Linked DNA regions of Canis lupus familiaris. The protein of the gene in region 1 purifies or fractionates together with the protein of each later gene. This does not show direct contact. Links are inferred from orthologs where the notes say so. Each region holds a gene or a part of one and is shown in the gene's direction. Other genes may lie near its edges.

Region 1 (5,712 bases):
TAATGAATGATAGGGTAATTCTCTTTGATGATGGCTATGATGGAATACATAGACTGAGAAAGGGAACTAATATTTCTTGCACCTTTAGGTAGTAAGTTGAGCAAGTTGCACCTGTGATTTTATTTAATTCTAGTTATTGTCATGTGGGGTATAATATCTATTCTCTAAGATGGTTATCTCCCCAGCATAGAGTGGGAAGTAAGATTAAGTTATAAGTTACAGTCAAAAGTGGCCTTCTCACATAAGAGTTCAAAGGAACCTCATTTTTTTCATTAAATGGGAAAGATGATTGGTTGCTCTTCACACAACTGTGAGGATCAAAGGCAATAATACATGCAAACTGTAAATCATGACAAAAATGTAGACTAGTAATATAATTTTTAAAGGAATGATTTATGACATACTAAGAATTAAAATATAGCCATTAGATATTTGGATTCCCTTTGACTTCATTGAAAGTAATAAGCATAAATAAAATTTGCCATTGAGATCAAAGAGAATTTTATGTTTAGAATAGACAGTTTTCCAACCTCTGGCACTTACTATTTGAAATCAAATTTAGTGTGAGCCTAGGTGAATCAGAATGGGGATACTGCAGGAAGTTAAGGCAAAAGAACTGAAAAGGTATCCTACAAAAGATCTCTTACCTCTTTTACCTTAATTATTATATATTTGCTAATTCTAGGTAATCAAGTTGGAGTAGTAATGAGGAAGCCTCTTATTCTATAACAAAAATAAGTCAGCTATAGTATGTGCAAAGGATATATATCATATTTTTGTTTTATAAACAGGAAGCACAGTCCTATGCAGATGACAACAGTTTATTATTCATGGAGACATCAGCTAAAACATCGATGAATGTAAATGAAATATTCATGGCAATAGGTAAGTTTTTTAATTTTTTTCCAAGCAGTAGATATAGGCAATAATACTTACACTGTAGCATATTTGGTTTGACTGTCTTCTTTTTAAAAATTCTTACTCTGGGCAACCCCGGTGGCCCAGCAGCTTGGCGCCACCTTTGGCCCAGGCTGTGATCCTGGGGACCTGGGATCAAGACCCACGTCGGGCTCCCTGCATGGAGCCTGCTTCTCCCTCTGCCTGTATCTCTGCCTCTCTCTCTGTGTCTTTCATGAATAAATAAATAAAATCTTTAAAAAAAATACTTACTTTTTTGGTAAATAATTTTGAGAAGTATTTTTAAAAGTAATCATTTTTTTAATGATTCTACTACTATTCTAGATCCTTTCCACCAAGAATTACTTTGTTAGTAATGTTAAATTTGAAAGACTGTTTATTATCTATTAAGTTGTAATACTTTTCAGTTTAAGTCTCTTCTAGGTAAATTGAAAGCCTGGACTTTGAGCTAATAGTTCAAGCAGATGGATTTTCTAAATATTTCAATGAGAAATTTGGATAAATAAGTTTTTGTATTAGATTATCTTTTTTACATGAAAGGAAGATAAGCTCAGAACAATATTTATCAGCATAACATAAAGACATAAAGAGATTACTTTCTCACTGATCAGTAACTATTTTCATCTCTATTTTGCCATGAATAAACACTATTTTTGTTTCTCACATTAGTTTTAAATCACTGATTATTGACAAATATAATGCAAATATTGTAACAAAATTTCAAATTATTGAGGCACAGAAAGACGGAAAATAAAATAACATGCTTCATATTACCTCTGATCATTTAACCTATGCAGTGCTCTTACCTTTTCCCTAAGGTAATTTTATGTGTTAAGATTGTGATTCCACGTTTGTTGATTGTAAGTAATGAAATTGGAACACTAATAAGGAAGCTTCCTATTTTCTGTAACAAAAATAAAAGTATTTCTCTTGATCCTAACCTCCTTTCAACAATCTTAAGGTGAGGATTCTGTGAGAATTGGCTACTTGGGTGGCTTTTGCATTTTACTGTGTCTGCACTATTTATGCACCAAGCACTCTTCTCATTCCAAAATATGTTTATTATATGGCAATGATTATTAACTAGGGTGCCCACAAACTTATCCCCAAATAAGAAATAGTCCTTTTATTGAAGTCATACAAATTAACCAATTAACAGCTGATTCAGAGGCTAAAGAAAATATAGTAAATGCTACAAGTACTGTTAAAATATCTTTCACTAGATGAGAGAGTTTTAATGGTAGCTCATTTAGGCTCATTAGGAAAAAAAATTGCCTGTTGTGTAAAATATTTTACTGAAAAACTCAGGCTTAAAGTTTATTAGGGAAATACTTGTGGAGGATTATATGACAATGTGCTCTTTTTATAAATAGAACACAAAATTACATTCAGAACCACATCTGAAAAGCCAGTAACAGAAATCAAGGGAATAATAGCCTCAAATCAGGCTGAATGAACTTTAAACTTTTCTGATAGTACTAAGATACCACCAGATGGGCTTGCTTGCTTATTATTTTTTTAAGTAATCTGCATCTAATGTGGTGCTTGAATATATGACACGGAGATCAAGAGTCACACTGTACTGATTGAGCCAGCCAGGCACCCGCATATGGACTTTATCCTTTTATTTAGATGTGCTGGTAATATATTTTTCCAATCAGAAGATAGCCTACATATTAGAACTTTCAGTTATTTTTCTGAAATTACAATGTTTCTTTCCTTGAAAGAAATACCAAGCATTAAATTGAATTGTGGCCTTTCTAGTTGTTTACCAGATAGGTAACTTAGATCACACAGTACAGTACACTCATTATTTTTACTCTTGATGATTTCCTGTAGAGAATATAGTCATTTAAAAAAAAAAAAAAAAAAAAAAAAAAAAAAAAAGAGAATATAGTCATTTAGTAGGAGAAAGTCTACAATAATTTTATAATCTGCTTTCAATTTGATAAGATTTTGCTTACATGACTTCTTTCATTGCACATCTTCATTAACTTCATTTGGATTTTTAGCCTCTTAAGATCCTAATTCAGGGGCAGATGGTAAGCTCCAATTGCCCATATACCAAACAAGTAGTACTAGCTTTACTTTGGTAATATTAAATAAGATATGAGATAGAGATAGAGGGCTGCTTCTGAGACTTCTAAGCTGTATTTTAGTTTATTTTCACACAGTGTAAGTTTACCAAATAGAAGCTTAAAAGTTCCTTATTCTAGTTTATTTCCTTCAACCTCGTAATTTCACTCAGATCTAATTACAGAAGACCCATTGAAAAGAGAAATGATCTCTTAGTCCAAAATATAAATTATAATAAAGTTTATAAATGTTAGCCTATTCTTTGTCCCTACAAACCTTTGTTTGAAAATGTATTTGACTGGAAATTTGCTACTTCATTACCATTTACCCTTCCATCCTTAGTGCCATTTCCAGAGAAGTAGTCGAAGGTGAAGGCTTTTCTTCCCAAACTTCCATTGCCTAGCCCAGCATCTAGGATTCTAAAGATGATTAATGTTCGTGTGGAATATTACAAAAGATCCAAAGTGCAACTAGACATTTAGATATTGAAGGTGGAGCATGTCCAACTTTTGTGTAACCTGAGCCAATAGTAAGGTAAAGCTAGAATTCACCCATAATAGTCTTCTCCCCAAGGTTGATATAGTGTATCTAGTACACTTACAGTCAGTATTCTCAGAGATAGTTAATATTTAGTGAATCCAGCACATGAAGGATTTTTAAGATTCAAAGCAGACTGTATCTAACAGGTATGTTTTTAAATCAGTGGAATCCAGGCTCCAGCACTCTGTATTAGCTATATAAAGCTTAGTAGAACTAAAACCATAACTGCTAGTTGAGGGCTTTGTCCAAATGTGACAAGCCAAGATCATCCAGCTCAGGACTGGAAATCATTTTTTGAAGTAGAGACTTCAGAATCAAGTCTTCCTTAGACGAGGCAGAGCTACTAGTGAATCGGATTAGGGTTTTTAATCATCCATAAATGAGGAGCATGGTAGATGTTTGAAGAGTTAAGTATGTGTAAGCCAGAAGAAAATAGATGTGATCTGTCAGAATTTGGGGTGATAATTAGGTAGCATGATAGAGGACCAGTACTGCTGGGGTGACAGTGATGGCATTTGTTGTTTATATCCTGACTTGTTCCAGAAAGTATATGTGGCAGTCCGGAGATCATTGATACAAGCTAAGATTCTTTATAAATAATTGGCTGGCCATCATCTTTATTAACTTAGATTTTCTTTTTCTTTTTTTTTTTATTAACTTAGATTTTCTTTAAACAATAGAAGTATTAAAGATTATGAAATAAAAGTACTACTATTCTGGTATTGCTAACTGAATATATGTAAAAAATTAAATATAGTCAACTTAAGTTTTAATTATATATAACTGTTCCCTATCTTACCCTTCCCTTATCCCACTAACCTCACTGAGGACTGACGAATGAAGAGTATTTGGTATTATCTAGTAGATATTTAGTAAGCAATTGGAAAAGAATGAACATACAGCTGTGTGATAGTTTGGGTCAACCTAGCTGGAAAAAAAAAGATTAAGCAGATGAAAGTAATTCTAATATGAATCCACTAATTGTGTTTATTTTGATAATTTATCTCTCAGCTAAAAAGTTGCCAAAGAACGAACCACAGAATCCAGGAGCAAATTCTGCCAGAGGAAGAGGAGTAGACCTTACTGAACCCACGCAGCCAACCAGGAGTCAGTGTTGTAGTAACTAAACCTCCAGTTTGAACTTCCTGGAATATTCTTCTGCTTCCTAAATGTTAATGACAGTGGAATTGGAGCATTTAACCAGCCCAGTATGACTTCCAAAAAGAAGAGACTTACGATAGAGTCAAGTTTCTAATACAGAATTATTTTAAGTGTTTTGAACTTAATTTTTAATAACATGCATGTGACCCTCTGACTAATATTTCAGAAGTAGAAGGGGGGAATGAGAGCTGTGTGTGTACGCTTGTTTCCTTGGACGGTTAGGGGAATCATTTCTCATCACCAGGGATAGAGACAAATGATGTAAACCCACAGTTAACCAGCCACTTCTATGTAAAAGATTTGGAACTTATTAATTTGGGCTTTTCAAAAGCATTCTTTTTTTAGAAGGAAGTTCTAAAGATATTTATGCTTAGCTACAGTATTCAGGAAACTGGTAATTTCTCTTAGTATGCATATTTAAAATGTACATTCCACATTTTAACAGATTAGCCACAAGAAAACAGTCCCACATCTTCAGGGAGAAAAACACAAACATTAGTGGCATCTAAATTATAGCCAGTCTTGGTATTTTTAGTGGGTTAAAAAAGGTCAAACGTAACCTCATCTTGTTTTAGGAATATGAAAATTGAATGCATCTTGATAGTGTTCCCTTCAAACATGTGAGCTCTTCAACAGAAATGAAACAAACCAGGTGTCTGTGATTTCTGTTTAATCACTGCTGGCCATTACATAGGTTTTGTTGTTTGGGGGCAGGGAGGGGGCCTTTGTTCCCTTTGGACATAATATAGTCAATGCACTAACAATTATGTACATTCAAACTTGATTATTTTAAATTCAATTTTCAGCTGTACTGTAAATAGAGTACTGCACTGTAGTCTCCATATATGTTTATTACTTTCCTGTAATATTTAAGAGTTGCTTAAAAGTATACAAAATGTACAGTTACTAAAACAGCTAATTTTTCCTTTTCTCTCCCTTTGAAAGGAAGGGGCTTCAGTTGTTCCTACATGGCTAGAACCATAATAAACAATGTACCAGTAATTTGTAACATAACTA
Region 2 (5,721 bases), on another chromosome or scaffold:
AGTTCACTGCTGGGATTACCGGCGTTTTGTGGCCGCTCAGGCAGCTGTGCCTCCTGCAGAGGAGTTAGCCTTCACTGACAGCCTCATTACCCGAAACTTTTCCAACTACTCCTCTTGGCATTACCGCTCCTGTCTCTTGCCCCAGCTGCACCCCCAGCCAGACTCTGGACCACAGGGACGTCTCCCTGAGGATGTGCTCCTCAAAGGTTAGCAGGGTCAGAGGGTGCTGGGGCAGACTATGGTGCTGTCTTTCCAGCCTTGTTACCTAACCCTGTTCCTGAACCTGCTGCTTGGGCTTATTGAGCACCTACTTTGTGCCTGGCTTTGGGGGTGTGTAAGATTCAGCCCCAGGCTGCAGGGAACACAAGTGTCCAGTGGGAAAGATGCAGCTGCTGTGCAAGGCCAGCAGATAAATGGAACCGAGGGCTGGCAGCACTCCAGGGGGAGGGTGGGATGCTGGGGTGGCCAGGAGCCACCAGGGTCCTGGCCATAGCCCATGCTCCTTGGCCCCTTCAGAACTGGAGCTGGTACAGAACGCCTTCTTCACTGACCCCAATGATCAGAGCGCCTGGTTCTATCACCGCTGGCTCCTGGGAAGAGGTGAGCAGTGGGGAAAGAGGCTGGGTCTTTAGGGTTTTGAAAGAACAGAAGAGGATATAAGGGGAGCTGAGTTTGTGTCTTCCCCAGCTGACCCCCAGGATGCCCTGCGCTGCCTGCACGTGAGCCGAGATGAGGCCTGTCTGACTGTCTCCTTCTCTCGGCCTGTCCTGGTGAGTCCTGCAGCTTTTCCGAGAAAGCATCATGGATGTGGGTCTGGTGCTGTGGGGCTGACAGGTCTGTCTTTGTCCCCTGGGCCAGGTGGGGCCCAGGACAGAGACATTGCTGCTCATGGTGGACGAGTCACCCTTGGCTGTGGAATGGAGGACCCCAGATGGCAGAAACTGGCCTGGCCACGTCTGGGTATCCCAGGATTCGAGGAGCAGAGTGGGGGGAACTGGGGCAGGGCTGGAGTGGGATAGTCAGAAAAGTGGTGAGGCTCAAGCATTTCCTTAACCCAGTGCTCCCAGCTCTGTGACTTGCCCGCCACCTCCCTCAATGACCAGTTGCCCCACCATACATTTCGTGTCATTTGGACAGCAGGCGATGCCCAAAAGGAGTGTGTGCTTTTAAAAGGTAACACAACCTCTGCCCGTTGAGGCAGCACTTTCATCCCTCTCCTGCTCTCACGGGGGCCCCCTTTCTACTACCCATTCTTGTTCTCAGGCCACCAGGAGGGCTGGTGCCGGGACTCAGCCACGGATGAGCAGCTTTTCAGGTGATGACAGAGAAGCACACAGACAAGGGGAGGGGCTCTGGACTCTGGGCATCAGGCAACTGGGCTGGGAGGCTGGGGGCTTGGGCACATGGTCTCAGACTGGATACCAGGGATGACTGGTACCCAGAGTAGACACCATCCCCTCCCCCGCCCTGTCCATCCTCAGGTGTGAGCTGTCAGTGGAGAAGTCCACGGTGCTGCAGTCTGAACTTGAATCCTGTAAGGAGCTGCAGGAGCTGGAGCCTGAGAATAAGTGTGAGGCCCCATTCCCTACCATTCCCTGAGATCCTGCTCTTCTGAGGAGGTCCTTTTCCAGGAGGGCTTCTCGGGGAGAGCAGGAAGGGTCTCAAGAGATGGGAGCACAGGAGGATCTAGAAGAGACAGTCCTTTTCCTCACCATCTCCTCAGGGTGCCTGCTCACCATCATCCTGCTGATGCGGGCACTGGACCCCCTGCTGTATGAGAAAGAGACACTGCAGTATTTCCAGACCCTCAAGGCAAGTCAGGCCTGTGGGAACAGGACAGGGGTTGCAGGAGAGGCCCAGTGAGTGGCAGGAAGACAACTGATGGGCTTTTCTTGTCATCCCCCTCCCCCCCAGGCTGTGGACCCGATGCGGGCAGCGTACCTGGATGACCTGCGCAGCAAGTTCCTGCTAGAGAATAGCTTGCTCAAGATGGAGTACGCCGAGGTGCGCGTGCTGCACCTCGGTCACAAGGTATGGACTGCCTTCTTCCTCCTGACCTGGCCAGCTTTGGTGTCTGCTCCATGGGCTTGAGCTGAGGCACTCTGGCCTCACCGTGCCCCTGGCTTTGGCCTCAGTCTCAGGTGCCTTTCTAGGCTTTGTTCCTAACCAAGATGGCATTCATCTCCCTTCAAGCCTATCCCCCTTCCTCATCTTGCCTTCTGTCACTTGCCCCATCGTTCGTGCTACCCAGTCTCAAATCCTGAGTCAGCAGGGCCTCCTCATGCCACCCTCTTCTCTGGGACCAGTCACATCTTCATTTTTCCCTCCCAGTGAGCCCTCCTTGAAACCCCCACCCCCCGCTCCGATGCTTCTCTCCCTAGAGCAGGCCCCAGCACCCGAAGCTGGGTAACTTCCAGAGATGTTTGACAAACTTCCCGGGCTGTTTTCCTGCTTTGTAGTCTTTCCCAGTCAGTGTTTCCATTGCAGCAGTTTGGTCATATCCTTGCAGCCTTCCACTGCCCCCAGACGGACCCCCCAGACTCAGCAGGTCTGCTTCTGGCAGCGGCTGTGCCTACCCCAGCACCCTCTGCCATCCCCTGTACCTGCCTCCACTCTAGGCTGCCTCCCCCCATCCACCTGCCAGCCACCCCACCCCAGCACTCCCTCATCTGTCCCTTGTCTTTGATGCAGAGCGTGTATTGCTGAGGGTCGTAAGGTAAGCGTCTCACCTGCTCTGTCCTGTCCTCGGCCAGTGCCCCCAAGGGCCTGTGTGGGACCCAGAGGGTAAGTGCCGCGTGAGCAATGGCTGGGGACCCTCCTCCAAGTCTCCCTGGGTGTCTCATCCTCCTCCCTAGGATCTGACGGTACTCTGTCATCTGGAACAGCTGCTCTTGGTCACTCATCTGGACCTGTCACATAATCGTCTCCGAGCCCTGCCCCCTGCCCTGGCTGCCCTGCGCTGCCTTGAGGTAAAGCACTCCTCCACCACTGTCCTGGGTGGTCCTTTTCCCTCTCCTCTCCCTCTGAAGTTGGCCCACCCTCCAAAGAGCTGTCCACATCTTCCCTGCCCCTGCAGGTGATCCCTTGCTTTCTCTGTCCCCGTGACCTGACCTGCCCCCAGCAGCCTTTCCCTTCACTGTAAGCTGATCGCCCTGAGCTCCCCCCTGCTTGCTTACACCAGTCCCAGGCTGACAGCTGCCTGCCCTGCCTTGACTTCCTTGCCCTCCCTGCTCCTCAGGTCCTGCAGGCCAATGATAATGCCATAGAGTCCCTGGACGGTGTCACTAACCTGCCCCGGCTGCAGGAGCTCTCGCTGTGTAACAACCGTATCCTTCCTTCTGAGGGCCCTTCAGACAGTGGGAGGGATGAGGTGCCACGCTGGGAAGGGACAGCCAGCCAGCGGGGTGAGTGGGAAAGGGGGGTCTGGCAGTCTCAACTAAGGAGAGGTAGCCTGGGGCTATGTGGGGCATCGTTGAGTTGCGCTGGTGGTTTTGCCAGGTGGGAGTGACTTCTTCAAGCTGGAGTTCACAAACCAGCGCCCTGCAGATACTCTTGGATAACACATAGTATTTTTTTTTTTTTTAAAATATTATTTTTTTTTCTTTTTCTTTTTTTTCTTTTTTTTTTTTTTATTTTTTTTATTTTTTTTATTTTTCATTTATTTATGATAGTCACACAGAGAGAGAGAGAGAGGCAGAGACATAGGCAGAGGGAGAAGCAGGCTCCATGCACCGGGAGCCTGACGTGGGATTCGATCCCGGATCTCCAGGATCGCGCCCTGGGCCAAAGGCAGGCGCTAAACCGCTGCGCCACCCAGGGATCCCAACACATAGTATTTTAAAAATCAAGAAGTTTTGTATTTAAAAAATCTAGAATTCTGATTTTACTTAAAAAAATTAGAGGTTAGGGAGGCCTTGCTCGGTCAGTTGGTAGAGCATATGACTTTTAATCTGAGTCTTGAGTTCAAGCCCAATGTAGGGTGTGAAGTCTACTTAAAAAAAAAAAAAACAAAAAAAACAAAAACAAAAAGAAAGTTAAAGCAGGCCTTAGTATATATACCACGCCTGCCCGCCTTCTGGGCTTCCTGCCTGGCCCCATGGGCAGGGGTTTGCAGTCTGGAGCCTTACTCCGTCCAGGGAAATGTGCAAGATGCCTGTCAGCCAGACTTCCAGGCAGCAGTCCCCATTCTTGAGGGAAGTTGGTGATGGGCACCCGGGAGCACGTGGGTCTGGGGGAACCTGGCACGCTTTCCTTGACTCTCCTGCCCAAGGCCTCCAGCAGCGCATGGTGCTCCAGCCTCTTGCCTCCTGCCCCAGGCTGGTCCTCCTCAACCTGCAGGGCAACCCCCTGTGCCAAGCAGTGGGCACCTCTGAGTACCTGGCTGAGCTCTTGCCTTTGGTTAACAGCATCCTTGTCTAGGAGACCCTTCTCTGCCCTCGTTCTTTAACTTATTGGGACTGAATAAACAATGGAGAGGCTCCCTCAGGCTGCTACGCTGCTGCTGCCACCGCCACCACCATCACCACCATCACCACCATTCCTTCTGCCATCTGTTCTGGAAGAGAAAGGGAGAGAGTTAGGGTGTGTCAGCTTTCTCTCACACTTTCATCTTATGTCAAATCCAGCTGTTCTTACCACGGGGAACCAAAGTCTCGGTGCTGGGGCAGAATCGGCAAAATCTGAGTTTACCTTCTAGTTGGGGCTGGGACTGGGATTGGGTTTGGGTTCAGGTTCTGGTTGGGGCCGGGCTACAAAGCAGCTGTAAGTCTAATTAGAAGGACTCAGAAAAGTTTTCCCGTGACTCCTGCCCCTTCCAGATACCTTCTGTGCCCTGGCTCATTCACCACAGCTCAGAAAGCCATTCCCATGAGGAGCTGACCAGAGTGTCCATGCTCCACCCACGGGTTACAACAGCATTTGTCCTCTGGAGTAGCATCCTGCGGTTGAAGAGCCCTCAAAAATCCTCCATCTCAGCTGGCCCTCCCAAGTGCTCAGGGATGAGATGGTCAGGCCCATTGTACTAACGAGGAAGCCGCTATTAGGGCATGCCCAAGTTTGCTGGGCTTGCGTGCCGAAGCCCCAGCTCCAGCTGTCTCTGCACCTTGGTCGGGGATTCCAGACTTGTGCCCTTTCTTCCGTGTTGATGCAGAGTGATGGGCAGAGCTTGGCCTCCACACCCAGGCACTGAGCTGGGTGTCTGCTCCCTCCCATGGTGCCCCCCCCACCCCGACTATAAAGCCCTGAGGCACTTGAGTCTCCTGAAGGGAGGAGAGGGGAGCAGCTCAGGGGCTAGGGCACTGAGTCAAAACTGGTTAGGTGGGGAAAGGGAAACAGAAGGGGGAGAGTATGACAGGGCATTTCCCAGCTCTCTGGGAACCTACGGGGGCCCTGCCCCTTCCCATGTTCTTAGTGATGCACAGGCAGGCAACCTCAGCAAAGCCCTTTGGCTGACCCACCTGACACCTGCTTGGAATTTTGATTTGTACTTGTGCGTTCCCTGAGAGTGTTAGAGGTGGAGGTGGACTCCCTGCCAGATCTGTGGCTTGGAGCTGGGCAGGCATAGGTCAGTGCGGGTGTGAAGGGCTCCCTGCCAGGTCCTGGAGCCTCAGTCCCCACTCCCCGAGGCCCCTCCTAGCCCGATGCATCACCAAACTCTGCCCTTCCTCAGCTCTGCTTCCTTGTGTCATCTGGCCCACCCTGTTGTCACTGTCTTCTCTGCAG

What was found. The genes of interacting proteins can lie anywhere in the genome.
Region 2: the proteins of RAB5A (region 1) and RABGGTA purify together in Homo sapiens (affinity purification with mass spectrometry; 3 studies listed by BioGRID and IntAct, counting the BioPlex papers as one, with this or other methods). This does not show direct contact. The link is inferred for Canis lupus familiaris from reciprocal best matches to the Homo sapiens genes RAB5A and RABGGTA.

What each region holds. Positions count from the first base shown.
Region 1 is NC_049244.1:23,814,476-23,820,187, reverse strand, and holds the end of RAB5A (ras-related protein Rab-5A), read left to right. Parts: intron 1-791; coding exon 792-885; intron 886-4,545; coding exon 4,546-4,661; 3' UTR 4,662-4,688; downstream 4,689-5,712. UniProt on the Homo sapiens protein: The small GTPases Rab are key regulators of intracellular membrane trafficking, from the formation of transport vesicles to their fusion with membranes.
Region 2 is NC_049229.1:4,368,817-4,374,537, reverse strand, and holds the end of RABGGTA (geranylgeranyl transferase type-2 subunit alpha), read left to right. Parts: intron 1-2; coding exon 3-206; intron 207-516; coding exon 517-600; intron 601-687; coding exon 688-770; intron 771-858; coding exon 859-960; intron 961-1,067; coding exon 1,068-1,173; intron 1,174-1,263; coding exon 1,264-1,315; intron 1,316-1,481; coding exon 1,482-1,570; intron 1,571-1,723; coding exon 1,724-1,812; intron 1,813-1,914; coding exon 1,915-2,031; intron 2,032-2,855; coding exon 2,856-2,969; intron 2,970-3,238; coding exon 3,239-3,326; intron 3,327-3,926; exon of another isoform or gene 3,927-4,270; coding exon 4,271-4,419; 3' UTR 4,420-4,485; downstream 4,486-5,721. UniProt on the Homo sapiens protein: Catalyzes the transfer of a geranylgeranyl moiety from geranylgeranyl diphosphate to both cysteines of Rab proteins with the C-terminal sequence -XXCC, -XCXC and -CCXX, such as RAB1A, RAB3A, RAB5A and RAB7A.